Mytilus edulis: one gene and its partners. The protein of the gene in region 1 purifies or fractionates together with the protein of each later gene. This does not show direct contact. Links are inferred from orthologs where the notes say so. Each region holds a gene or a part of one and is shown in the gene's direction. Other genes may lie near its edges. The genes, in order: putative pre-mRNA-splicing factor ATP-dependent RNA helicase PRP1, U2 small nuclear ribonucleoprotein A'-like, RNA-binding protein cabeza-like and calcium homeostasis endoplasmic reticulum protein-like.

Region 1 (7,608 bases):
ATAAATTTGAGAACCCTTTTTTGACTAAAAAGTACAGCAATTCTACATATGAAAACAAATTTTGCTTACAATTTGAGAATTTTTTTTTTTACTAAAGAGTACAATTTAATCGAAAGCAATGATATTCCAATGCCTTAGAAAACAAAGAGTTAGAAGCAAGAAGCAAGTTGACATAAAAAATATAAATTACATATCTACATTATACAACTTACTGCATTATGAAGAACTAATTTCTTCAAACTTAATACATCATCACTGAGCGTAGCTGACATAAGGAAAGCTTGATATATCTTTGGCAGTTGTCTGAAATACAAATACAATTTCTTTATTTAAAATCGTGACTATATTACTAAGACTTCTACAATGGTATAAGTTTCCTCTAAAATGATGTTCTATTCAGTCAAAAACATAAACAACATTATTATTCCCATGTTGTTATGCTATTTCGATCACAGTTTATTGAAAATATTTGTCTTATAATATTTGAAGTTGCCATAACAGACCTTTATTATTCTCTGATATAGTGATACTTGTGATGAAATACATCAGAGTTTGATTTTGCAGTTTTTACATCTCTTTTTTCTATATCATTAAAGATCATTAAACAAAATGTACAAGAAAGCTTAAAATTACTGCTCAACAGAATGTTATATCATTCAAAGACGATGAAGAAAATAGAGGAAACCTTACGTAACTTGTTGTTTATAACTATGAGAGAGAGGGGCAAACATCAGTTTGTCTTAACAAATAAAATCTGAAACAAATATTTGGTGTAAGCTATAACTCATGCAAGGGCCTAACATATTAAAGTCCTCAAAGAGCATATGAGGGTTTGAGACAAATAACTAAAAATTTACTTTATGATAGCTTTAACATCATCCTCATAGCCAAAAGAGAAAACCAGATCGGCTTCATCTATCACAAGCATCTCCAAGGTGTCTTTGATACTGAGATTACCAGCCTGTATGTGTGCCAGGATACGTGTAGGTGTACCAACAACTATATCGGGTTTCTCCATCAATTTGGGTCTGTCAAAATATAGATAAATCTTACATTATTCTAAATGCATATAAGTTTATATGTTGTGCAATATTACTTAACAGAGTGGGCAAAACAACAGATAAAATAGTTCAATGTTGCCATTATGTATGCTAATACATGTAATCTTTTGGCAGCATTTGGTGTTTCTACCAACCATGACTCTTTCTAGTAAGGGAACTGCTTAACCTTGCAGAGTCCTAGAGTACTCTCTGTTCTATTTTGTAGGGTTTGTGTAGTGTAATCTTAGTTTCCTGTGCAGCATTTTGTAGACTAATGTTTGACTTTACATCTTTTTACTTTTGGATGTGGTGTTGTTTGTCTTTTTCAATTTATGATTTTTGATTGCCATCTTCGTATCTTCTTATTTTTACAAGAGAGAAAGAAGTAACTTATTCAACACCTTGTACATTGTAGATGTTCTAACCATGATAAAACATTTTTATTTGTCAGCCAGGCATGGTGTTCAATGAACATATACAACTTGTTTTCATTAATGTGTACCTTTCCTTTACATATATGTTGCTGTTTGATAGATATATGAACATGTGGTATGAGTGCCAATGAGACAACTCTCCATCCAAGTAACAATTTATAATAGTAAACTATTATAGGTTAAAGTACACTTAGTTTCTGTCTTTCTGATGGTTTTTTTTGTTACTCAATAAGATCACTATCATTTGTGATGTTACCTTTGTGTAAGCAGTGGAACTTTTGGCGAAACATCAACACATTTTATTTCTCTGGAACAACATGATGTCAATTCCTGAAACAGAGAGTAGAAATCAAATACATGTACTAATGAAATATTTCTATATCCAAATACTATAAATTCATATGTACCAACTTTAAATAAAACTAATATGAATGCAAAATTGACATAATAAAATTAAGAAAGGAAATGGGGAATGTGTCAAAGAGAAAACAACCCAACCATAGAGTAGACAACAGCCGAAGGCCACCAATTGGTCATCAATACAGCGAGAAACTCCTGCTCCAGAGGAGTCCTTAAGCTGGCCCCTAAACAAATATGTATACTAGTTCATAATACATGTTTTCATAAATACATGACCTCAATACTATATTCTTATGCATAACATGCAACTTATTTTCTGATTATTAGCGAGAAAGCTCTGTAATGTTGGTGTATCAAGAATGTCCAAGAAACCAAAACTGTAGAAATGTAATTTAATACATGTACCTCTCTCTTTTTCTAAAGACTTTTGTTACATGATTAATTTTGTCCCACCATCTACCTTATGTTAATTTTTTGTGCTATCTATGAGTAGGTTTAAAGAGAGATCATCAAGATACATGTACATGTACACTAATGTCACATGTGCATATACACTAATGTTACATTTAACTAATGTGACATTTACATTTATCTCTATAAATACAATGTATAGTATACATTGTATTTATAGAGATAAATGTAAATGTCACATTAGTTAAATTGTACACTAACCATAAGATTTTTATATATGTACATGTACACTAATTTTACATGTAACTGTATAAAACAATATATACTAACCATAAGTATGTACACTAATGTTACAAGTAACTCTTTAAATACAATATATACGTACCATAAGATTTTTATATGCTTGGTGACATAGTTCCTTAGAAGGGGTCAGGAAAAGAGCTTTTGTACACTGTTCTTTACTGGTCTAGAGAGAAATTGAGAAAATGTACTTTCTGCAAAACTATTTGTAGTACATACAGTATTCATATCTGTAAAAAAATACTTGCAACACAATGCATTTTGGAAATTTGTTTGATGTCCTTATGAAACTTCAGATATGGTTATATATAGTTTAATTTATCAATGACGAAAACATGATGATTAATTGACCTTTACTGAAAATAATTAATATTTCTAAATACATTACATACAGTATTTTATCTATTTCTCAGTTCAAGAGAATGCAAAATGATTATGTTCCATACTACATATTCAGAGTAAAACAATTTTCCATTTCAAAGAAAAATGGAAAATATTCAGTGTACTAGTATGCATTGTTTTACTCACACTAACATCAGAGTATATCTTATTTCATCACATTGTATATCAAAAATATTTAACTCGAGTCAGTTGTTATGCTTTATTTGCTTTGTATTTGAACATGTGACATGTTAGATTAAACATAGATTTCAAAGTACTGTGGATTCATTTACTTTTGTGGGTACCAATTTTCGTGGATTGCCGAAAAACTTGCCTTTTCGTAAATATGTGATTTCGTGGTTTTGCCAAAGTCTGTATACCACCAAATAAAAAGCTTGTTGAAAATTTTAATTTGTGGTTAACCTGTACCCACGAAAACTGGTATCAAACAAATAATAATAATCCCTAGTAGTATTATTATTACCTGTTTAGACTGTAATATTTTTTGAACCACAGGAATGGAGAATGCTGCTGTTTTACCAGATCCAGTCCTAGCCCTTGCCAAAATGTCTTTTCCTTCTAAAGCCAGAGGGATTGCTTTTTCCTGAATTGGTGTTGGTGTTGCCCAGCCTAAATTTGCAATTGCCTGTAAGCGTAAAATATAAATTAATTCAATACTAACCTATTGGTAAACAATGGGATATCCCTCCAAACTCTATCTGCTGTTACACAGTGCACTCTTCATAAAAGATTTCATACAACAAATCCATAATAAGCACAGGAATTGAAGACACTTATAATTTTGTGCCAAACCAAGATCAAACAGTACATAATTTCAAAATAGAAAGAGGAAAAATTATCTATAAATAAGGATACATTGTACTAATGTTTTTCACAAACATACCAGCTCCAGTAATAATCATGATTATAAACTAATAAATTGGTCTTTATATAAGCTTAATTTTGGTATGGGTTCAAACTAAAAATAAACATTGTGATAAATGACAAAAATTATTTTCTTGGATAAATGAAAATCATCAACATTGCAAACATCACAGAGATGCATTGTCAAGCTTCGAGTCTGTAGCTAGTCAAGTGATGTTAAAATAATCTGTTGTATCTCAATGAACATGTAGCACACAGCATAGATAGAAAACACCAAGAACCTGTCAGTTGCACTACAAAAATGCATAATTTTCAAACAGATCACAGTATTTTAAGCAAAATATTAAAATAAAGACAGAGATGTCCAGTCATATAGAATGACCAAAATAAGAGCGATTTATTTGATGTGAAGTGTTCTATAAGGTTTGTGAATATGGGAATGCAATGGTCACCATTTTGTATTACCCCATATACATTCTGTACCCTTCTGTGAATGTGATTATAACAAATTTGAAGTGACATATTATAAGTTTGATAAAATTTTTAATTAATCATAGAGGTGCGATCTAATATTTCATATCACATATAACCTTATTGCTTATTATCATGTGCACCTTTAAAATTCTGTCATCCAACCCCATCTCATGGAAATTCAAGGTTTTGTCCTCATCTGGTTCTGACATCGTCTTGCTTGTTTTGATTTTACCGGAAGTACAAAAAACATGTGCTTCCTTTACCTTAAGTCTGACAGAACTTTTATTTATTCAAGCGTGACTATAAAGTCATTCTTATCTCTCTTGGGTTTTCGTTGAGTTTTGTTGTAAAATCAAATGTCCGAATGACGTCATTTGCCATACTGCAATATACAGGGTAACAACAAAATGTCGAAAAGACACAGAATCGACGTTGGCGACTCTTTGCCAAAACGCACAAGGTATGACAGCTGTAAAGTCATGGCAGCCTTTGCCTCATTCAATTTATTAAGACACACATTTGTCTTGTTTCATTTCTCTAACTGTAGAATACCTATAACACTATTAATTGAACATTTCCACAGTAGCGCACAACGCATGCCGAATCGGACATAATTTATCCCCCCTTTTCTTCATAAATCTTTTCAGTACTTGTCAGAGGGAGGGACTGTCCCTGAAGTCTTTTAGGATCTCCTGTAGTTGGTGATCTCAATACTGGTATACTAGTATTGTGCACAATACTGGTATAAAAACTTTGTACCAGTATTGTTTTCCAGTATTGTACCAGTGTTGTGTTTTTTTAAATAAACAAATACATATAGGTGATTAATCTTTAATTAAAGGTGTCACATATATAAATGCATAATGAAATTAACATATGAAATGACAATTTTATATGAAATGATTGTAAAAATCAAATCAAATATTTTATTATAGTCTCACCTCTCTACATGTATCCTCGTGTATTGTATTTTCGACCTTCTAACATTTTTCTGAATTCCCTGTTATATGTTTGACCATAGACATACCTAATATTTTGAGAGTCGCTAGTATACTTGTGCATAAAATAATTGTATCGGAAATATATTTCGATCTTTAATTAATTTCATTTGAGTTCATTAGATCGATGGCACCTTTGTTGACAAAAACAAGGGTCTTGTGTTTTTGACCTATCTATAAAAAAACGAGTCTAAAGTCAGAAACGACATCTCGTACATATCCGGAATTGGTTATAAATTTGATACCAAAGTTTATATCAAAGTGTTAGAGGCGATCTAACTTATGACTTAAAGAATTAAATGGTTAAATATACAACTACATGTACAAAATGTATAAGATATAAAATATTATTTTGATGTCTTTTTTGGACAAGTTGTACACATTTTAGAATGAGGCACTTTGGAAGCCTTGTATGGTCTTGTATACATTCTTGTTTTTTTTAAATACTTTGGTTTATCCATTGTGAAGTGAGGTTGGTGAGTATTGTCTGTAATTTCCATTTCCACTGACACTGTTTTTTCTGTAAATAAAATTGAACTGATATTTTATTTTTTGGTAAAAAGCTGTAAGGAGCATGCGTATTTCTGTATTCAAATTAACTTTAAGTATAAAAACTAACCACCTGACAGTCATGTGACTTAATGACCTTGAAGTTAACTTTGCATGCAAAAAGACCTCTAAAAAAACGTAAATACTTAATATAATAACTTTATTTGAAAAATCTTCACCCCACATGGTATCATTTGCTATTGTTACTAAGTATAGCAGCCGAATATGACCTCATGCAGGCATGCGCAGCATACGAAAAGTGAAAGTAGAATTAGGTCGAAAACGTCAGACGGTCGAAAACACAATACGAGATGATACATTACAAACATGAATACAATATATACAACATGTTTTAATTAAAAGTACAAAACAATCTTAAAAACATTCGAGAGCCACTCTCAAAAGAGTTATGAGAGACTTTTACATAAAAAAAGGACAGCTCGATAAAAATACAAAACATTTTTTATCTATATAAAACATTCTTCCTTTGAATTAAAATATCATGGCAGATTTTGGCAGAATAAAAGCACAAATTTTCATTTGTAAATAAAAATATAAATTTTTCATCATCATTTAAGTCTAAAAAATCAATATTAAAAGAAACTGCTCTAGTAAAAAACCTCTTGTCTTGCCTGTGAATATAAAGGGCATTTGGGTAAAACATGTTTCTCATCTTCAATGAGTTTCTGTTGCATACATGAATCATTAAAACAAAATCTATTTTCACTTAAAACCCCTTCATATCTGCCTGTTTCAATTCTAATCGGCGCCACACCACATCGAAATTTAGCAAAGGCACTTTTATATTTTCCTGGCACATGAAAACTTAAATAATGTTCTTTATAATATTCTTGTTTAAATAATCTATCAACTTTTGTTGCAGAAAGCTCGACATAGGGATAGTGATCCGGCGGCGACGTTAGCTAACTTCTTAAAAGCTTTACATTTTAGAAGGTGAAAGACTTGGATGCTTCATACTTTGTATATAGATGCCTCATGTTACGAAGTTTCCGTCAGTCACATGTCCAATGTCCTTGACCTCATTTTCATGGTTCAGTGACCACTTGAAAAAAAAGTTCAGAATTTTTGTAATGTTGAATTCTCTCTTATTATAAGTAATAGGATAACTATATTTGGTATGTGCGTACCTTGCAAGGTCCTCATGCCCGTCAGACAGTATTCACTTGACCTCGACCTCATTTCATGGATCAGTGAACAAGGTTAAGTTAGGGTGGTCAAGTCCATATCTCAGATACTATAAGCAATAGGGTTAGTATATTTGGTGTATGGAAGGACTGGTATGTGTACATGTCCAACTGGCAGATGTCATTTGACCTTGACCTCATTTTCATGGTTCAGTGGTCAAAGTTAAGTTTTTAAGTTTTGGTCTTTTTATCTAATATTATATGCCAAAGGTCAACTATATTTGGTGTATGGAAATATATTATGATCTATATGTCAGTCCCGCAGGTTTTATTTGACCATGACTTCAATTGCACAGTTCATTGCACAGTGTTAAGTTTTTGTGTTTTGGTCTATTTTTCTTAAACTATAAGTAGTCTTTGACAACTTTCCAAGTCCTGTTGAGAAAAAAAATGAACATGTTGAAGATTTTATATTGATTTCAATAATTCTTAATCAGTTATACACAATTACCTCTTTTTGTGTTTTCTGTCTTATCAAAATATATATTGCAAAGTTTATAATGACCCCTAAAATACGCATTAGTTAAGCTAAAAAACAGTTTTGATCTAATGTTTTTTTTCTGGATTCAAA
Region 2 (6,841 bases), on another chromosome or scaffold:
AATTTAAGAATTTCTTAGATGACATCGCATTTGCTGTTCATATTTATATTCTTCAGCTATTTTCTTCATTGAATTCGTATAAACCCCATCCTTATACAATAATACCGCTTCCGTGAATTAAGCAACTCAAGTATTTGACAGTACAGAAAGTAAGCATACCAGGAAAGCTGTATTTGATTGATTGGTTTATTCATATTTCAAACAGCAATCTATTTGGTTGGCTTCCAATCATACAATAGTAAAAATAAACCATACGAAACAACCCAGTATATTCATCCCACCTTAGTCAGATATATCTGTTGATTAAAAATTGCAGGGGTGATTACAGACCGAATAAATCGTTTGCTTTATCGAAAAAGCTTAAGTTTTTTTATAATGTTTCATTTTACACTTTTGGTAGAAGATGTGGTATGATTGCTAATGAAACAATCGTCTCCACCAGAGACCAAGTAACGTTGAAAGTAACATATATATGCTACAGTCAACATACGGCCTTCAACAATGAACTAAATTCATTCTGCATAGTAAGCTTATTTCCAGTAAGAGTTATATATATTTTCCATTCAATCTCTAAACGTCCTCTTGATAGCAGTTTTCAACATACTTTTCAATATGTCCATGTTATTGTATCTTTTCCTTTAAAAATGTTTACGCGGATATGCATATTTCATATATACATTGCTCATTAATTTCAAAGTATTTTCATTTTTCTAAACATTCAACTGTAATGTTGACCTAATGATGAGATATGTCATCTTGATTTCAAAATTACATTTTTAGACAATATGAAAATGTTCAAAAAGATTTTGTTTTGGTTCATATTTCAAATACATTGTTGTATAAAAAAAAATGTCATAAAAAGGAAACATCTACCTACCCAATTTAGCATACACCACGACAGACGGCATAATGAGAATGTACTGTCTCCCTTTTTATCACATGAATATCTTTACATCCTTTAACAGTTAGCAATGACTTTTTAAGTTACTACTTCCATATGTAGGGTTAAACAAATACTCAATATCTTAAGATGTCACTTTGGTCGAGGAAGATATGACTTTACAAAATACCTGTAACGTATATCCAAGCAACTTCGATTTCATAGTATCTTATATCATTGAAAAATTGAATAAGGTGAATTTTGGCTTTTGATCGGAGTCGATACCTTTACACAGGTTAGCAGCATACCTGGGAACTACTATAGCAACAACCCATTGATCTCTTTACCAAATTATCTGATCATATGTTCGCAAATTTGAATAGTTTAATTGATACGGTTATCTAAACAAGACATTTAGTAATCTACAATATCACAAATATAGAATTATTAAGTGCAAATTAATTATCAAATAGTGAAAAGAACTTGAATACGAATACTATATGGATAACTTTGAATTTAAATTTTGATTTTTAATATTTCAATAATAAATTATATTTGAACCAAGAAATTATGAAGGGTCATAAGGAATACTGATCGATGATATTGATTCGTCAAGACAAAATTGCTTAGGTGTTAACGTGTTGACGTTTGATTTTTGTGATAACTGTAACCTTTAAATTTATTGTTTTAAATTCAACACTTATAATTGAATAGTTGAAGAACGAACACACTATATTTAGTTAATATAAATAAACGCTGGATAATTAGACTAGTCACAAATTTTGATTTGTAGATACTTTTGAGGGTATCTTTAGATTCCTTAGAATTATATCATTTTCACGTACGGTGCTGACGACTCGTATGGAACGCCGTAGCTGTCTTTATGTGTTAAATCTTATGCCATGATATATGCATTATGAGTGCCAATGAGACAACTCTCCATCCGAGTCACAATTTGTAAAAGTAAATCATTATAGGTCAACATACGGTCTTCAACACGGAGCCTTGGCTCACACCGAACAGCAAGCCAAAAGGCCCCAAAAATGACTAATGTGAAACCATTTAAACAGGAAAACCAACGGTCTAATCTATATAAAAAACGAGAAACGAGAAACACTTATGAACCACAGGCCAGTAGCCAGAAATTTCGAAGGGGGTCGATATATATGGCAAGCCGTTTTACTATTTCTTCGAATTTCAAGATATCTCCTATTATATATAAGATATCTCCTATTATATATAAGATATCTACTTTAATATATAAGATATCTAAAATAATTTAATTTTTATAGGATATCTCATATATTATATAAGATATCTTTAATGTTATATGAGATATCTTTAATGTTATATAAGATATCTTTAATGTCATATAAGATATCTCATAAAGTTTATATGATATCATATATACTTCATAAGATATCTTATATAGTTTATGAGATATCTCAAAAAGACAATTATATAAGATATCTGATAAACTATATAAGATATCTTATAAACTATATAAGATATCTTATAAACTATATAAGATATCTTATAAACTATATAAGATATCTTATAAACTATTTAAGATATCTTATAAACTATATAAGATATCTTATAAACTATACAAGATATCTTATAAACTTTAGGATATATCTTATAAACTTTAGGATATATCTTATAAACCTTAGGAGATATCTTATAAACTAAATAAGATATCTCCTATAATATATAAGATATCTTATATCATTTCATTTCTATGAGATATCTTATATATTATATGAAATATCTTAAATATTATATTACACTAAATAGGCCAAGTTAACATTAAATAACAAAAAAAATCATTACAAATTATCTCAACAGGTCAAAATAACACGAAAGTACGATTCGAGAGTATTCGCAGTTACGGAAAGCTAAAACAGTTACTGAACACCAAAACAAATTAATGATAAAAAAATCATGCACCAGGAAGTAAAATCAACTAAAACACATCCCAGAGATTTAGTAATTTAAGGTTTATGACCCCTTCTGTTGCCATGTGAACAACAAGCATCATTATTTATTGTCCATTGCATTTATTGAATAGAAAAATAGGATTTTGTGATAAATAAAACCAAGATTTTAATAATACAAAGATTTTTCGTATGAAATTTTAAGCATAGATCACTCACTTGTGTTTCTATGATTTACTAGCGTTTATTGTTTATAGAAAAGTCATAAATAAACCTGATTATTAAAAAAAAAAATTGTGCTGATTCACATGTTAAACTTGAGTCGAGCGCACCATATATAACATTCATATACATGTACTTGTTTTAAGGAAATCATTGCTAGCACTGCATGCAATAATCCTCTATCTATCAAGCACCGAATTGCCAAAATTAAGAGTACGAGGAGGGAAGGCTGTCACGGGATTTTCTTATAAATTCTCATATGTTTCGTTTAACATTGATACAACACAAGGGTACATAATCCTTAACGTCATTATGAGTGGCCGTTCATGTCATTTGCGTGATAATATACGCGTATATAATCGCGCAAATGACACGAACGGCCACTCATACGCCGTCACGGTCATGAACAGACTGATAATGAAAAATGTCTAATGTGAAATATAGATAGAGTAATCTCGATATAAAAAATGAACGTCAGTGGATGTGTATTTATGACATTTATACATCACAAAAAAACGTTTGAAAAGAATACTTTTTACTAGTTTATTTAATGAATTTGAGCCTCGGTTGTTAAAGTATGTTTAGATTTTGAAGCACTATGACATATTAAAATTTAACCTCTTATGGGGGATTTTCTTGAGTCACAAATCTGTGAATTTTACCACATTTGAAACAGAGACTTTTTATACTAATTTAAAGAAAGTTAGTATAGGAAGGCTCTGCTTGAATCTACGAAAAACTCAGTTCCAGTTTCCGGATACTATACATGGCTGATCGCATTAGTTTTTCAAATTAAACTACTTCCACAATCGCATGCGCACATGAACAGACGCATGGCGTACTAAATCTAAATAAAACTAAATAAAAAGACTAAAACACCATGGTTAAGTTAACAGCTGAATTGATTGAACAATCTGCACAATATACAAACCCAGTTCGAGATAGAGAACTTGATCTCAGAGGTAAACTGACTGTCTCGAATCGTAAAAGATCACAATGACAGAGTTTGTCAAAAACACAACAAAATAATATAATTTTTCATAACTTAAACTTGGCTAATCAGTATTTTGTTAAGGCAGTTTAGTTTTTGCGAATGTATCTTTTTGAAACGTAGATTCATGCAAAATTGGTCGGAGTAGATTCTTCTGGTTTTGATATATTTCTTGTGTAAACAATGATAGGAGTTTGAAATCCTATCAATAAGGGGGTAAAAATATACCAAAGTCGACTATCACAGTAGAGCTTCTCTCGAAAATATACTGTGATAGTCGACTTTGGTATATTTTTACCCCCTTATTGATAGGATTTCAAACTCCTGTGAAACAATATACATACTCCACACCAAAAATATCGTCTCATAACTAAATCGTCTCACTTTTTCATCAAATCGCCACACTTTTAAAAATTATCTCCCCACTTAAAATGGACACACACTGGCCTACAAACTCTCCCAACTTATATAAAAAGGATTAAATCCTGTTAAATATAATCCTGGAGAATATATATATGTTTAAATTTTTTGCGCCTGTCCCAAGTCAGGAGCCTCTGGCCTTTGTTAGTCTTGTATTATTTTAATTTTAGTTTCTTGTGTACAATTTGGAAATTAGTATGGCGTTCATTATCACTGAACTAGTATATATTTGTTTAGGGGCCAGTTGAAGGACGCCTCCGGGTGCATGAATTTCTCGCTACATTGAAGACCTGTTGGTGACCTTCTGCTGTTGTTTTTTTCTATGGTCGGGTTGTTGTCTCTTTGGCACATTCCCCATTTCCATTCTCAATTTTATTAAAGGTCAGCCAACTCACCCCACTGATGAAAACTTATCTATGGTATGCCATAGTACTGAATCTTACTGCTGAATCTTTCTTTGTCCTTTAGGACAACCTCTTGGTAGAGTACAATATTAATATAACCCTCCACTATCCAGAATTATCAATATCATACAAATATGTATAATTTATATACAAGTCCGCACTGGGTGATTTAGTTGTGTGGTCTTGTTTCTAGTCCTGATATTTCATTTAGTATTTTGTTTTGTGTTATCATGCCACTGCTTGTGTTATTGACTTATTGTGCAAAGTTTGCACTGCAAACCTATCATAACAAAATAAAATTATGTGAACATATGTGAACAATGATTATCCACTTATTCTGTAAAACAGTGATTATATTATAAACCAGGAAAAAACCCCATCATAAACAGTTACAATAGTCAATTACATCGTCCTTCACAGAAACACTAATTCATCTTTCTGCTTTCTTTCAACCAAAAGAAAAGAGTTTAAAAAAACTAAGATGCATTTCTAAGGTATTCATAACCATTTTATTAAATTTAACAGTTGGGCGTGTTGGCAAACCTATAATGCTATGAGAATGAGTTCTTTTTCATGAATGTAAGAACAGTCTTTACTAGCGTAGTAGACTGTCCTTATAAGTCGGACAAGATGGCATGAATAAATAAATCATGGTTTTTCTATTTTTAATAACTGGGTAGAACAGCAGACCTTTTTTTCAGCGTGATTTGTTAACCTTTCCTCCATTGAATTTTTTTGTTTGCATACCTGATTCGCATAAGGATTTCTCAATAAAATGCTAAAAATATGCTTTAAAGTATTAATGCATTGCGAAAAAACAAATAATTCATCAAATAAATTAAAGTCGGATATTCCTACGATATTCCTTTTCATATTGGATACAAATTTTATTAAGTCTACTGCAGACACTTTGTAGTCAAAGCGTTTCAACTGAGGTACTACACAGGCATCAAAAGGCGTCATTATGGAGTAAAGGGGGTGGCGTCAAAATGATGATTTATTTATCACTTTTTAATTTATCAACATAGTTTCTGACCAGTGGAAATGTTACATTAGAGGACAATGACCCAACATACATGTACTCTTCTCTTTTAAGTCTCACATCTTTTGCCTATCAGTTTCTTAGAATTCTATGAGAATGCATTCTTTTTCATGAATGTAAGAACAGTCTTTACTAGCGTAGTAGACTGTCTTTAATAAGTGGGACAACATGGCATGAATAAATAAATCATGGTTTTTCTATTTTTATGCCCCACCTACGATAGTAGAGGGGCATTATGTTTTCTAGGGGCATTATGTTTTCTGGTCTGTGCGTCTGTTCGTCTGTCTGTTCGTTTGTCCGTTCGTCTGTTCGTTCGTCCGTCTGTCCCGCTTCAGGTTAAAGTTTTTGGTCAAGGTAGTTTTTGATGAAGTTGAAGTCCAATCAACTTGAAACTTAGTACACATGTTCCTTATGATATGATCTTTCTAATTTTAAAGCCAAATTAAACTTTTGACCCCAATTTCACGGTCCACTGAACATAGAAAATGAAAGTGCATGTTTCAGGTTAAAGTTTTTGGTCAAGGTAGTTTTTGATGAAGTTGAAGTCCAATCAACTTGAAACTTAGTACACATGTTCCCTATGATATTATCTTTCTAATTTTAATGCCTAATTATATTTTTTATCCAATTTCATGGTCCATTGAACATGGAAAATGATAGTGCGAGTGGGGCATCCGTGTACTTTGGACACATTCTCGTTAATAACTGGGGTAGACCAGCAGACCTTTTATTCAGCGTGATTTGTTAAATGATGATTTATTTATCGCTTTTTAGTTTATCAACATAGTTTCTGATGAGTGGAAATGTTACATTAGAGGACAATGACCCAACATACACTTTCTCTTTTAAGTCAAACGACTTTTTCCTATCAGTTTCATAAAGAGAAGCAACTTTTCCTCATGATCATGATGATACTGAAGAGGTTACGATCATTTGTCAATAGTC
Region 3 (7,690 bases), on another chromosome or scaffold:
ATCAGGAAAGACTATTGGTGACATGCAATTAAAAGTACAAGATGATCTCCAATGTGTTGAAAAATGGTGTCATGAAAATAGCATGTTCATAAATTCAGATAAGACGAAATGTATGGTTATAGGTACAAGACAAAGGCTGCGTTTAAATCAAGCAGATCCAGTTCTAACTATTGAGAATAATATTCTTCAAAAATCATCAATTGAAAAACTTTTAGGTGTTAGAATTGACTCTAATCTGTCCTGGACAGGCCATATTAATTACTTATGTTCATCAATTTCATCAAGAATTTTTTTACTCTCTAAAATCAAGAAATTTCTAAATATTGATCTAAGAAAATTATTTTATAATGGTTATATTCTCCCACTGATAGATTATTGTTGTATTATTTAGAGTGGTTGTGCTAAAAATGAGCTAGTCAGAATAATAAAATTGCAAAAAAGGGCTGCAAGACTTATTTTAGATGCTGATCCACTTTCATCATCCGCTCCACTGTTTAAACAGCTTGGATGGATGACAGTAGAGAACAGAATCTCATACCACAAATCTGTTTTGATGCATAAATGCCTTAAGAATGAAGCCCCTGTATATCTCACTGAAAAGTTTAAAGAAATGCCAGAAATAAACCAATGTCGTTTGAGAAATGCCTCTTGCAAAAATTTACAAGTTCCAAAAGCCAAAACAGAGCTTTATAAGAAATCTTTTATATATTCATGATCTGTTTTATGGAATAACTTACCAATATCCCTGAAAAAATCAACCTCAAGTACAAGCTCATTCAAAAAAGATTTAAAAAATTACTTGATGGAACATTAAGAAGCTGTGCATTTTTTATATGCATAATAATTTTCACACACTTACTCAAACTTATGATATTGTTGATGCCAATACTATACATGTCATATATGAATTTGTAACTTTTACCTGTTTTGAAAATTGTATATTTCATAACAATTTTTTATTCATTGTTCATGTATGTGTGTCTGTTTGATATTTTGTAATTGTTTGTTATATTTCATTGTATTTTATGAGGGCCTCAGGGAAGATTAGCTTTACAGCTAACTGTGTAACCCTCTTTAAATAAAGAATTATTATTATTATTATATTATCATAAACGTAGTCTACTGTGCTTGATTTTATCATTGTTTACGCATTTATATCGTATAATCGTCATTTTTTGTTCGCTCTGTCTGTTATAATGAGAAAATATGGCAGCTCGTTAAAAGAGGGACGAAGATACCAAAGGGACAGTCAAACTCAGAAATCTAAAATAAACTGACAACGCCATGGCTAAAAATGAAAAAGACAAACAGACAAACAATAGTACACATGACACAACATACAAAACTAAAAAATAAAGATCACGAACCCCATCGTCGTGTTTTGAAGCCGTAGTTACCGGTATCACCAGCCCAGCAGTCAGCACTTCGGTGTTGACATGAATATCAATTATATGGTCATTTTTTATAAATTTCCTGTTTACAAAACTTAGAATTTTTCGAAAAACTAAGAATTTTCTCATCCCCAGGAGTAGGTTACCTTAGCCGTATTTGGCACAACTTTTTGGGAATTTGGGTCCTCAATGCTCTTCCAACTTTGTATTTGTTTGGCTTTTTAAACATGCCAAGAAATCCTCGCTAAAAATTTCGGTCGACCCCCTACGGCAGTCATTAGTAGCTAAAGATTTGATTTCATTCAAGAAATTAATGTATGACCTTCATGTACGTGTCGCTTAGAACACGGTCGTATACCAAATGGTCAAAATTAATCATCCATGTAATTTGCTCTATGGGGTGTTTGCAGTATTTCAACGGAGGCAATTTCTTGGCAAGGGAGAAAGGAAGAAAGACCATTCACAATTTGTCTTATATTTGTTTTTCTCTTTTTTAATTAAATAAAAAAAATAATAAACCTTTCAAATGTACAGTTCATAAGATAAAAAATATTCCCTGTGGAACACCTCCCCCCCTTTTTTTGTGCTCTCTATGTTTAACCCTCGAATTAAGCTTTCCAATTAAAAATTAAAACCTTGCTTTCTAACCAATCTATTCATGTACCGGACCGGCAACTTTCTTTATTTAATACGAAAATCTACAGTGCCGTTATACACATGCATGTTGTTTGCTTGGAGTCCCTTCCCGAAAAGAAAGAAATAGCCAAACTCCAAAATACTATATTCCTGCATCACGTGATTTTTACCACGTGGAGCTTACATTTAAATAAATACCGAATATGGAAAGTGAAACTACAATTCAAAACATAAAATCCGAAGGCACAAATAAGAAAAAAGAAAGGTTTTTTTTGGCAAAGGGTGCCGGGGTAATTCTCTCGGTGTTCAAAATATACATGAAATATTTGCCACTGCCCCTTTTCTGTTCTATGAATTTTGACCCTGAGTTTTCTATCTGTTACGGTTTTGATCTGAGCGTCACTGGTGAGTCTTATGTAGACGAAACGCGCGTCTGGTGTATTAAAATATAATCCTGGTACCTTTGATAACTATTTACACCACTGGGTCGATTCCACTGCTGGTGGACGTTTCGTCCCCTAGGGTATCACCAGCCCAGTAGTCAGCACTTTAGTGTTGACATGAATATCAATTATATGGTCATTTTTATAAATTTCCCGTTTACAAAATTGAATTTTTCAAAAAAACTAAGGATTTTCTTACCCCCAGGAGTAGATTACCTTAGCCGTATTTAACACAACTTTTTGGAATTTTTGATCCTCAATGCTCTTCTAACTTTGTATTTGTTTGGCTTTTTAACTGTTTTGATCTGAGCGTCACTGATGACTTTTATGTAGACGAAACGCGAGTCTGGCGTATTAAATTATAATCCTGGTACCTTCGATAACTATTTACCGATTGTCACCTTAAAGTTGATAATCAACCAAAAAAAAACATGGATATTGAACACGTGCATAACATGTACAATCAGATAATTGTTTATTTTAGTGACAGATCCATGCGTATTGCGGTCACCGGATTTTTACGAGGAGGTTTACGCTCAGGTCACTATGCATACGGAAAATATGTCGGCGAATTGCTTACTGGAAGCAAGCAATTCAAAATAAGTAAACTTCTTCTAAATGTGGACAAATTAAAGAATTTTCCTCAGAAAAAAGAATATGTACATAAGTTGTATAATGAAAACTTTTTATAATTCTATTAAGTATGTATGCAAAAGTCCATTTATAGAAAAAAAAATATATGCGAAATCCTATATTTAAATAATAAAAGATTAACACCAGCGAGCCCCCATTAAGAACAAGAAATATATCTTTTGAATGATTAAAATTTAATAAATTTTCATTTATCAAGACTTATGAACAATTTCTGAGACTTAAAATGAATATATGTAATGAAAAGAAAACATTGCAAGATCTTTATCTTATACATTCAAACAATGGTCAACAAATAAATTGCGAATTTTTGAATTTTTGTCCTATCAAATTTCTGACTTTTATTTCCTGTGACTTTCTTCCCGTTTACATGCGCGTAGCTACGTTTACGTCAAAACGACCGGGATTACACTTGAATTTTTAAAATAAAATTAATTGAAACGCGCGTCTGGCATATATACAAAATTTAGTCCTGGTATCTATGATGAGTTTATTTAAGGACAAAACGTATTTCTTTCTGCACTTTATAAGTTTTCGATCATTTTTCTGTTCTTTTTTGATAGACAGATAGGCGGACTCTTCTTTACGAATGTTACGCAATTAATTGTTTTACATGCTCAATTTATAAACCTTCATAGATTATCGTGAAATATTCCAGATCAAGAAAAAAATATCAAAAGAAAATTTTAGTTTATTTTTTAAATCCCTTTAACATGTTTAAATGAATGATAAATTGATTTACTTTTTGTGGGAAGAAATCCTAGGTATTCCAGATTTTTTTTATATTGCACCTCTTAGAAATATTTTTTGTTTTCTCTGAAACCAATAACCATTAGGTTTGCTTCCAGTTTAACACGATGAATAGGTTAACATATTACAAAATTTAACAAAAACAAACAAACCATTTAGATACAAAAGTATGTTGCTATCAATGATTTTTTACTGACAGGAAGCATATATTACGGTATCTTATTCTCGATAGCTGTCGGGGGCTTCGTCCCTTTCGAACCCACTACCAGCAGGTGCTTTAACATTGAGCGGTTGTCACCCCTCATATCCCTCGTCAAGTTTCGGGCGTACACGTAAAAATGACCCAGCTACCGTCTTAATTCTTGCTAAAACGTAGCTAATTCGGAAATTAAAAAAGAGAATTTTGTTTTTGATGTCAATAATGACAATTGTTTACTTGTTTTTGATATTTATTTTAAGAAAGTCTTCTTAGATCAACTGAAAAATGGATAAACACATGAATTCGTACTAACACGCTTCACCACATGTCCCCTATGACACCCCTGTTTAAAACTGATTTTCCTTCCTATGGTGTGTTGCTCATAATTTGATTAGAAACTAGTTGCGCATGCTCACAAAAAGAAATTGAGGTCTGCAACAGGATAATGAAAAGATAAATGTCGAACTGATAAGTTTCTGTTGTCGCATAAATTGATTATTGTTGCAATAAATTATAGAAATTTAAGTACTGAAGAACACAAGTTAAATATTTACCAATTGATATGTAAAATCTATATATTTCTCACAAAATCTAAAAGTTCTTAAAAAAATTGTATGGTCACATGGTTCCTTAAACACACGCGGTCTATACCACGTGACTCTTGCACAAAAACGAACAGACAATGGCGGATGCAAGTCGTAAGAAAACACTCTTTTTACCCTTAAATTATTGTTTTAGCTCAAGAAATGCTTTGTAAAGTCATCCCTGTGTCCCATATTTATGTTGTTAGACGATGATAGATATAATTGTATTGGGCGATACCAGTATTTAGCTCAAATCATGGTAAATTGCCGTAACAAGTCAACATTTCGCACAAAAATGCCGGCATCGCACCGGGCGTTAATGAAGCCAATTGAAACACAATGTTATGTTAAGACGCAGCACTTACAAATTAATTAACTTGCATTATGAAAAAGATGATGCATTGATGGACCTCAATCGAGATGTAAAACTAGAAAGCCGGTCTAAATGTATTATAAAATCAATTGAAAAGTTTTCTGAAATTAAAAAAAAATGTAAGGAAAAAAAACGAGCTGACATTAAGTCTTATAGTAGTCCGAGATTACTCTGACGTCCAACGGCTGTTTTGCTGGGGCCATGGGACGTCAGAGCTTGTCCCGTATCAAAAAGTGGATATTTGCCCACCCAAAATAAATGCGCAGCTTGTCACGTCTGGTGCCGACTGATGGCCTTGGAATTATATAAATCAGGCATCAATCTGTTCATTTTTCATTTATGTCTTCATTTATGTAAGTTTCACCTACCTGCCAACCTTTATTTTCTCATAATTATACAGTTTTCACAGTGACCCATTGATTTCCTCATTTTGCCTTTCATTTTCAAAGATTATCACATGACCACATGAAAACAGTGATGATTTATGCAAATGACCATAATGTAACACCTCGTTTATTTACGATGCAAGTTATCTAAATGTCCGAGAGCTTCCGACTGTAACATGGTCGGAACTAAATGCTTAATACCGATCTCCTGTAAAGGAGGTGAAGTATCATGGCTGGCTACTAAATGTTAAACATCTATTTCCTTTAAAGGAGGTTAAAAAATATAAATATTTGCATATTTTGAGTCTTGAGGCCACGAACTCTTAGTAACTTGATGTCCATTTAATATTAGTCTGGAATTATTCAACTAGAAAATCCTTGTTGGTGTGAGGTGTTTCAATATCTTTAATATCGCACTTCTGATGTTGAATTTCATTACCAGCATGGATGAAGGGGTTGAATAAAATAAAATAATAATGAATAAAGTCCAACTAGAACTAGTAATCGTGCTTATAAGTTATGGTTAAGTTAAGTTGAAGGTAATATTGTCCATATCTGACTATCAAAAGTCAGTCATTGGCTCAGTTTAAATTTAAAATTGTTTAAATTAATAACAAGCAAAAATGATGGGGCACTGTGATAAGTGTCCAAATTTGAAAATAAAGGGTGGCAGATAGACGATTCGAAACTTGCATAAATTAAGTGATAAATGAATATTCAATAATGAACAAATTGAGACCAGATTTATATGGATCCAATGCCCTCAGACAGCTCCAGAAGCTAGGAAGCAGTGCATGTATTTTGAACAGGGTAACATCAACTTTTTGAAATTGGACAAGCTCAGACATACCATGGCCCCAGCTTTGGATGTCAGAGAATAGGCTTGGTGACATCAAGAAATTTTGTAATGTTTAGTAACACATTTTTTTCACACCAAACCAAACAATGCTTTTTCAGTCATGAAATGAATAAACAAGTTCAGTTATATATAGAAATAAGGCATTCAGACCATTATATTCCTCTGAGAGTATACCATCATTTCGCAAAAAGAAATGTTACAATCACAGCATTAAAAAAGCTGAATTTGGGGTTCACAATCTTGCGTTGTTTTGATCGGTTGCCCACAGATTACACTGGGTCAGTGGGAGTATTACATGTAGATGGATCATATATGGACCATAATTTGCTATTGGGCTCCGTTTCCTATAACTATAGAAAAGTGATAAAATGTGAATTACTGTAAGAAAAGTTGTAACTACATCTAAAGATGCCATTATTTTTATCAACATACAAGTGTATGCTACTCTTCCCTAGAAAAAAAATTGAAATTAACAAATTTCAAAGATTATACGACCGTATTTGTGTGTCGTTTCTCGCGTTACTTTTCACGTCCGAAGTGCATAACGCTGACTAATTTATAGATAATCGTCACCGGCAAATTCGTAATTTTTGCATTAAAATAACAAAGAACATCGACCAATAAGAATAGTGAGAAGAAAATGCCGAGAACTATAAGTATTTCTGTAGCAGGTGTAAGAACACTGTCGTTATTTTGGTTTCCCATTTCGTAATGCACATTTTAGATGGTTTAATCTGCTTTGTTGTAAAAGAATTCTTTGCAACAATATGCAAATACGAACTCTCGCGAGATGTTCAAACAGGTAAATGATTTAAAAAATCAGAGATGATTTACATTCTTGTTTTGTTCTTCGTAATAATTAAGTTAGAAAATGACGTTATCGTTATGCGTTACATTTCACACGAAACAGAAGTCCATTTATTTATTAAAATTGTTTTTGTCGTTAAGTTCTAATCATTTCAGGTCATACGTGAAACATGTGACTAACATGTGATCACGCCCTTACAGCCGGATATACGAAATACTAGGTCTAAACATTGTATTTGTTTCCAACGGGATGTAAGCAAACATAATCTGTAGGCTTGTTTCGTCTTGTTTAAAAAAGGAAAATACAATTTTCAAAGAGATTGCGCTGGGGGTCTATTATTTTTCCTATGTGCATAATGTTACATACGATCTTGTGTGAAAATAAATGCCCAATGACTTGACAAAATCGATTTCAGATTTGACCAACGTTTTAACACACTTCGTTTCCCAATAACGATGTAAAGGGTCCTTGGAAAATTCAATCGAAATTACGTCTCTTATCATGGTGCCGATGTTCGTTGGATTGATTTAGCTTCAACAGTAAATATTACTGGATATTTTAGGTGAATAAAGATAATTTAATAAAAAATACATGTTAATGTACCGTTACA
Region 4 (7,875 bases), on another chromosome or scaffold:
AACATAACGTTATGAGTATCCCTGAAACTAAACCTTTCAACAAAATATTATTGATCTTCTATACACAAACATACATAGAAATAAGTATTGATAGGATTTATCTCCCTTTATTTTAGATTAACATGACATACTTATCATTGTGGAAAAATAAAATTTCTTTCTTTATAAAAATGGATTTCCACTACAAGATCGTGTTGTTTTTATTTTTTTTGTAGGTGGTATTTACATGATATATAATGTACCAAATCCTACATCCATACTCGACACTTTTATACACAACACATTCTTACAATGGACAAAATACAAAATAGCACACACATTCAATACATGTATAAAATCTGTCAAGTTAAGCACTCAAAAAATAACACAACCAGAACAATAACTGATATCAAATGAGTTTGGTCTTTGTCTCAGATACTTATGCCACAACTAGATGAATGAGAGCTTGGCAATGAACAACCACTGTCGCTACTGTCCTCAGTAATTTCACTTAAATTGTTTGGTTTCCTGGCCATTGTACGTCTTTTAGCCAGTCCTGAACTTGGTGGAGACAGTTTGAAACTTGGTATATTAAACTTGTCATCATCATCACCACTTTCATATGCATCACAGTCAAAATCGTCCCTCCCACCAATAAAGAAATTGGGAGGCTCCGAAATCAAAAGATGTTGCTGCATCATTCTGTTGATTGAGACTGCTTCTCCAGCAAAACATTCCAGATCTTTTGTACTGTTGTTTCTGCAATATAAATAAGAGTCCAATGTATAACAGATAAAAGCTTTCATGTTTTCATCTTAAACAAAATTAAATGTCATGCAAAGTAAGACTTTAAAGAAATGATGCTTATTTCAAGCTTATCAAACACTAGTGTAAATTTATTTGCTTCAACAGTCATATTTCCGTCTCAATTTAATGTAACAGTTATAGTGTAAAAAACAAGACATTACATTGTTAACAATGTAAACAGGAAAAGCATCAAGTGGTCACATACTTTATCTGATGTATACAGGAAATTACGTTTTATTACATCCCACCAACATACAGTTCTTAATATGGAAATGTACACGACTTGTAGTAAAATAAAGCATACCTTGTAAGAATACCAGGAGTAGCCAATGGGGTAGGTGCTGCAGGACATGTGATCCATGGATGTTGTAGAACCTCCAAAGCTGTCAGCCTCTTCCTGGGTTCACGGACTAGTAATTTCTGAATGAGATCTTTGACATCGTTGGATACATCTCCCCATTCATTGTCAGGGAATTCAAACATGCCATCCTGAATTCTAGTGAACAAGGTCTCTTGACATGACTGACAGGCTTCACCTCTTTCCCAGCCACAGTCACCACCACATTGTCCATAGAATGGAGGATAACCACATAACATAATATACCTGAAACACAAAATTCATTTCTAGGTTACTCATTTTGAATTTCACTATTTAGCAATATTTAAGCACTAATCAATATCATCTTTCTAAATTATGTAAATGAAAGTTTTGAGTCTATGCTATTCAACAAGAAAATTACGAAGGAACACATTGAAAAGATTCATCTGGATAAATTAACACCTGAAAATTTTGCTATTTTTTTCTTTTTTTTAAAACCAAAATAGTAAAGAACTTACAATATAATTCCTAAGCTCCACAGGTCACATTTCTTATCATATGAGAATGATTCTCCAACCCAAGCATCAACAACTTCTGGTGCCATGTACTCGACAGAACCTACAGGTGTAAGAAGTTCTGGTGTTGTACAATTGTCTTCTGTCTGGCTACCTGGTACCCCACTAGCCAAATCAAAGTCACAGATACGTATTGGGACTACTTCATCAGTTCTCTCGCATAAAATATTATCTGGTTTGAGATCTCTGTGTGCAATGCCTTAAAAAATAATAAATAAGATCATATTAATTTGTGCTTGGAAAAATGTTCCTTTGTAGATTATCATTATATACAGAATATGCTAAAAACAATCATGAAATTTGATGCTCCTACTGCAAAATGTATAATGTATGGTTTTTTTTCTTCTTTGCTTTTTATGCCAATAGGTATCTTTACAACAAAGTAACTAAAATAACATTTTTTTTCTTCAAATAAATGTCAATCTATTAAGAGACATTAATTTAAGATAAATGCTGGAAAACTAGGACACTTCCACACTGAAGTATAATTATTTTTTTTATATATATATTTACCTTTTTGGTGAAGAAAGTTCAAAGCTATGGCTATCTGTTTGACTACAAGTGCAGCCTCTCTCTCACATAGGTGGCCTCTTCTTTCAATATTGGCAAGTAATGTTCCGCCTTTCATCTTTTCAAATACCAAATAAAATCTGTCCTCTTCTTCAAAGTATTCAAATAGTTGTAAAATATTATCCTGGCCTTGACAAATACTGAAAATCTCTATCTCTTTAAAAACCTTATTTCTTGATCTGGTAAAATCTTTTTCAATAACCTGCAAAATAAAATGATTTCATATAACATTTTTAACTTTCTTGATACATGTAGGTATTGTTTATTTATATTCATATTTTTAATTTTTGTAATATTCAACTGTATTTATACAAAATTCATAGTTTCTACTTATCACTGGTCATCACAAAAATGTGTTATTTGTTTCATTGATAATAAAAATATATATTTTGAAATTACCTTAACAGCATATTCTTTGTTCGTTGTGTTTTTTTTGTAGGTTTTAACAGCAGCACATGCTCCATTTCCAAGAATTTCTCCAGTTGCTGTATACAGATCTGTTAAAAAGAAGAATATTAAATGATTGATTCATACCATAAATACATATACAAACAGTAATGAACAATATCATTACATTGTTCAATAATAAAAACTTATTAAAAGGTCATGACATCTTCATTAGTGTTTCACATTGAATTAACCCACAAATATTATTAAACTTTTCAAGTTGTGTTTTCCCAAAAATACCATGAACCTTCTCACTTCAACTGCAAGAAAACAAATAAAAAAGTTACCTTCAAATTTTTTAACAGAGTTGTCAGCAGCCCTCCTTTTTTTCTTTTTATTTCTTGTTCTGATATTCATAGAGCATGGGCCGTTGTTGTTTTCCGAGTCTGCCAATTCCATATCCAAGTTTGTCATTATACTTTCGAACATTAAACTTTCTGGTCGTGGTGGTGATTGTGAGCAATACTTTGACTTTTGGTCGATCTGAAATAAAATGATACATTCACAATAAAATTTCATTCATATCTTTAAGTTCTACCAAACTAAATCCCAATCATCAATATAATATGAAAATCAGATAATAGGTTCAATTTACATGTTCAGAAATAAACACTTCAAAAATACCTTCTTCAACTGAGCATTGAAAATCATACTCCTCTGTTGTAAACCCTTTCACCATACTGACAAGACATTCACAAATCCATTCCTACTCTATTGGTTTTTCAAAATGAAATGGATTTCACCAAATCATTGCAATAGTAACAGTTGCATCATAAAAGTTTATTTATAAAAGCCAAATTTACTGGTAAAGTATATTTTAAGTAGTTGAGCTAAGGAATCTAAAATTAGAACTGCTTTGTTAAACCAGCCAATCAGAATGCTAGTTGATTAAGTCATTCTATGGTTTAGGATTTTCCATTTGGGCAATCCGCCAAAATATCAGTAAATACCTAAGAATATTCCAGACCTCTGACAAATTTTAAGAGTTAAATATTTAATTATCATCTATATTCATGATAATGTTTTGCTTTCTGATAAACATTTACTGTTTAGAAAACTCAGTTATGCTTAACATGTAATTGTGTCAACAAAGAAGTGGGTCATCTTCAAAATATTTACATTTCATACATAATCAATATCCATGGCCTTCATGTAAAGATTACAGTGAAATTAAAAGTAAATTTGAAATCAACATAATAGACAATATCTATAAAACTGTTAATAGTTTGTGACAAATATAAATTTTAATATAAACAATAGATGTAAATAACAAAAAAAAATATCTACTGGAAGAACTGGAATTATGCATGAAAATAATTGCAAACACCCTGAGGCAACACCAGAGTATTAAATTGTAAAATTTCAGAAAATAAGACCAAGTCAACAATATTTTGCAAAAATATTCAATGTTTTTAATTGTGGAAGAACAAATGATTGCAAAAAATAATTCTACTTACATCGATCATTTTAAATGCTGATAAAATTCCTTTTTAAATAAAACTGATTATTTCCTGATTATATTCCGACAAAATTTGTAAAATCCAATATTTCTAAACCGGTAAATGGTCATTAGACCTGAATAATTTTGATCACCCTTTCATTTCAACACACTCTCAATAAACATTCAAGACTGAAAAAGTTTACGTCAGCCAAGCTATTTATACTAGCACAGCTACGTGGCTCAACGTTGACTGGTTGACTCAACGATATGTGACCCCAGTCTACGTACGCAGTTCCACGCAATTTTGTTTACATCCGTCTCACAACAATGTCGGCCATGTTTACTATGGCGTGACCTACAAACAATGCAAATTTCTAAATTTCTGGTGTTAAATACAATAACAGCATTTGATATCAATCAAAATCAATCTTTTATTCATGATTAAAAGAAACCTTCTTAGTATCTCAATGCAACTTACTTCTATCATGACGCTTTTTGTATTAGAACTTTCAAGCATCCTCCCGCCGCTGTCACCATTTTCTCAAAACAATCAGTCGGAGATTTACGGAAGAATAATGAAAATTAATTTTTGAAATTAATTTCTAGAAAGCATCACTTTTTGTTTAAAAGTTAATGAAAAAGTTAACTTACGCAAAAAATATATATATAAAAATAAGATTTTTAAAAGTTGTAAAATTTAAGTCTTATAAACGTTTTAATAATCATAATTCAGCATATTTAAAGAGAGATAATTTTGAACATTGAATATTTATTTTTCTCACGTTTTGTGTGTAGAAAAAAATGGATATTCCACCAAATCATCCTGACGGTAAGTTTATGTATAGTTTTGTAGAAGCAAATTTTTGTTTGTTAAATAGCTTGTTTGTACAGATATTGATATGTGCAATTGTATTTATCTTAATTCTCAATAAATCATGATATTGAAAAGGTAAACACTGTCTTACTCAAGGGTTTGTTACTGTTAGTCTAAAGTTGCTGTCATGTCTAAATTTTCGACCTTTTTGGGGTTCATTTATGGTTAGTATGGAGGTTTTTCTTAGTCAGGTATATGTGTTGTGATCATTGATATGGTCAGTTTAGTATTTTGCTTACTGTTTCAATGTTTGGGGAGATAACATGATTAAGGTTTATGACCCCTTCTGTAGCCATTTTTGTACGAATATTTCAAACTTCAATTGTATCAAAACTACAGATGTAATGAATAAAAGAGGGGAAACTTGATGCAAAGCATTATTATTTATTGTTTCATTGCATTTAATAGAAAAAGAGTACTTTATGGCAAATAATCCAAGATTTTTATAGAAAATCCACAGCCTTTAATACAGAGATTTTTGTTATAAAATTTGAAACATAGATTACGCACTTGCTTTTCTATGATGTGCTGGTGTTTATTTTTTACAAAAAGTTCTAATCAACCTGCAAATTCCAAAATACCTCGTGCTGTCCGAGTCACTAAAGTCAAATGTACCCTAAAAGGTGAACTTGATTTGGTCCATATTTTAATTTGTTTTAACCAATAGCTACATTAATAAACTCATTTTAAGGAAATCAATGCTGTCACTGCATGCAATAATCTTATATCTTTCAGTCATGACATTGCCAAATATGATGGTACAAGGATAAATGCTGTGGATTTTCTATAAAATTTCCATATGTTTAGCATTTAATCAACACAAGGGACCATAATCCTTAACTGACAAAATTTGAATCCTTTAGCTTTCAATAAATTAAAACATAGAACACTGAAGCAAACACTCTTCTTTTTGTCAGATTGAGACACCTAAACCTTCGCAAAAGATAATGTACTTGTGTGTCTCCCTATTTTCCTTTCTTACAAAATGTATATCAAATATAAAGGATTAATTGCTTCAATCAACTTGAAACTTTGTACAAATGTTCCCTATGATATGATCCTTCTAATTTTAATGCCAAATTAGAGTTTTTACCCCAATTTCTTATTCCACTGAACATAAAAAATGATAGTGTGAGTGGGGCATCCTTGTACTATTGACACATTCTTGTTTTAAAATATTTTGTTTATTTGTGCTCACTTGTAATTGTAACTATATTTTGAATCACTGAAAACACAAATTTATAGTGCAAAATTCAATAATTAATCAATTACAGTCTATATGAATTAATAAATGTTATTTATATATCAGTAAAATATTCATTGCAATTCAATTTCTTGTGTTTTGGCATGGACTTTATTATATCAGTACACTGCAGTACAGTTTTGGATTTTTTTTCTCTGATCCTAAACCCTTTATACATGTACATGTAAAAATGTATATGGAATTTTTCTCAGATTACAATGGCATTGCACATCCTTTTTATTTTAATCTATTGGAAATGTGTAATTTAGTTTTGTTAGTTTGGTCACAGTTCATTCAGCTTCTATTCTCATTTATCTTCAAATATTATTGGAATATGTTTAATACCTTCTAACCAAAGTCTCAAATGTCTTCTAATTGAAACTATAAATCATAAGAAATTTTAATAATCCTCAGTTTCCTAAAGGATGAAAAACTTTCGTTTCATTTTGTGATTTTAAAGTTGAGGAGTTTTACCAGATGTTTTCAACAATACCATTGTTTTTAACATTTTTATTTAATGACTATTTTTTTCCTTTCAGAACTTGAATTAAAAAATATTATAGACAAATTGGCAAGCTTTGTTGCTCGAAATGGACCCGAATTTGAACAGATGACAAAACAGAAACAAAAAGACAATCCTAAATTCTCTTTTCTTTTTGGTGGAGAACACTATAACTATTATAAATTTAAAGGTAAGTTGATACATAGGTTAAGAGCAATTGTGTTGTTATTAGAAAAAGTCTCTTGAATAAGAACTTATCAATTTGTTAAATCTGTCATAGAACAATCAGTAAAATATATATTTTCTCAAAGAAAACTGACTGAATGCAAATTTTAAAAAAACTCAACATTATTTATAGAACAGTTTGATGTCAAATGCCAAAACAACAAATTGAACAGGTCTTTCTAGAATTTTATTCCAGATACATAATTTATAATGAAGTCAATGTATTTTTGTATAATTAAACATAGAATTATTAATAAATATCTTTTGTTTTGTTTTGTTAATCCAAAACTGTTAGAATTAAAACTGTAGATCGCATAGATCAAAGAACTTTATTATTTTTCACAGGTTTAGGAAAAGTTATATAACAGGTGAAAGAACTCTTTTTGTTATATTCTTAGTCCATTTTAATTCCCCCTAGGACTTCCTCTTTATGCATTTATTTGAAGAGATCAGAAATCTTTTGAAGATTGCATTAGTTTAATTATTTGATCTCTCATGAGAATTATCGAATTGATAAAGGTCAGACAAAAATATGGGTTAATCCTTTGATAACATGAAAAACAAAGCCTTGTTTATTTGAGATATATAATTGGAAATAATTTTCACACCATGATAGACATAATTTGTTAATTAATCTATTGATATTGACACCTCTCTTAATTACTTGTTGATTTCACTCTAAGGGTGTCATCTCAGAGGGAGTATGAAAACATCTAGAATTAGTAAAAAGGGAAATATTAAAAAATATGCAAATGATATTATAAGACTAAAAACATTTTTAGAGTAAATAGCATTTGACTTTAATATAAATTAATAGTTTTCTTAGAAGTTGTGTTCATATTTAAAAGAAAATAGAATACAATAAAAATATCATTTTTTTTATGTGATAGTCG

Evidence for each region.
Region 2: the proteins of putative pre-mRNA-splicing factor ATP-dependent RNA helicase PRP1 (region 1) and U2 small nuclear ribonucleoprotein A'-like fractionate together in Homo sapiens (co-fractionation; 3 studies listed by BioGRID and IntAct, with this or other methods). This does not show direct contact. The link is inferred for Mytilus edulis from reciprocal best matches to the Homo sapiens genes DHX15 and SNRPA1.
Region 3: the proteins of putative pre-mRNA-splicing factor ATP-dependent RNA helicase PRP1 (region 1) and RNA-binding protein cabeza-like purify together in Homo sapiens (affinity purification with mass spectrometry; 4 studies listed by BioGRID and IntAct, with this or other methods). This does not show direct contact. The link is inferred for Mytilus edulis from reciprocal best matches to the Homo sapiens genes DHX15 and FUS.
Region 4: the proteins of putative pre-mRNA-splicing factor ATP-dependent RNA helicase PRP1 (region 1) and calcium homeostasis endoplasmic reticulum protein-like purify together in Homo sapiens (co-immunoprecipitation; 3 studies listed by BioGRID and IntAct, with this or other methods). This does not show direct contact. The link is inferred for Mytilus edulis from reciprocal best matches to the Homo sapiens genes DHX15 and CHERP.

Annotation. Positions count from the first base shown.
Region 1 is NC_092347.1:43,277,114-43,284,721, forward strand, and holds the start of putative pre-mRNA-splicing factor ATP-dependent RNA helicase PRP1, read left to right. Parts: upstream 1-4,606; 5' UTR 4,607-4,692; coding exon 4,693-4,745; intron 4,746-7,608. Other genes in the region: probable ATP-dependent RNA helicase DDX56, read right to left, coding at 213-303, 858-1,028, 1,731-1,804, 2,631-2,711, 3,411-3,572, 4,426-4,494.
Region 2 is NC_092344.1:117,059,729-117,066,569, reverse strand, and holds the start of U2 small nuclear ribonucleoprotein A'-like, read left to right. Parts: upstream 1-3,838; 5' UTR 3,839-3,919; coding exon 3,920-4,001; intron 4,002-6,841. Other genes in the region: regulator of G-protein signaling 22-like, read right to left, coding at 878-908. UniProt on the Homo sapiens protein: Involved in pre-mRNA splicing as component of the spliceosome. Associated with sn-RNP U2, where it contributes to the binding of stem loop IV of U2 snRNA.
Region 3 is NC_092349.1:8,782,459-8,790,148, forward strand, and holds the start of RNA-binding protein cabeza-like, read left to right. Parts: upstream 1-4,675; 5' UTR 4,676-4,752; coding exon 4,753-4,768; intron 4,769-7,690. UniProt on the Homo sapiens protein: DNA/RNA-binding protein that plays a role in various cellular processes such as transcription regulation, RNA splicing, RNA transport, DNA repair and damage response. Binds to ssRNA containing the consensus sequence 5'-AGGUAA-3'.
Region 4 is NC_092344.1:19,672,796-19,680,670, reverse strand, and holds the start of calcium homeostasis endoplasmic reticulum protein-like, read left to right. Parts: upstream 1-4,850; 5' UTR 4,851-4,939; coding exon 4,940-4,967; intron 4,968-6,794; coding exon 6,795-6,947; intron 6,948-7,875. Other genes in the region: MAP kinase-interacting serine/threonine-protein kinase 1-like, read right to left, coding at 411-738, 1,091-1,390, 1,624-1,879, 2,194-2,452, 2,650-2,747, 2,985-3,180, 4,617-4,655. UniProt on the Homo sapiens protein: Involved in calcium homeostasis, growth and proliferation.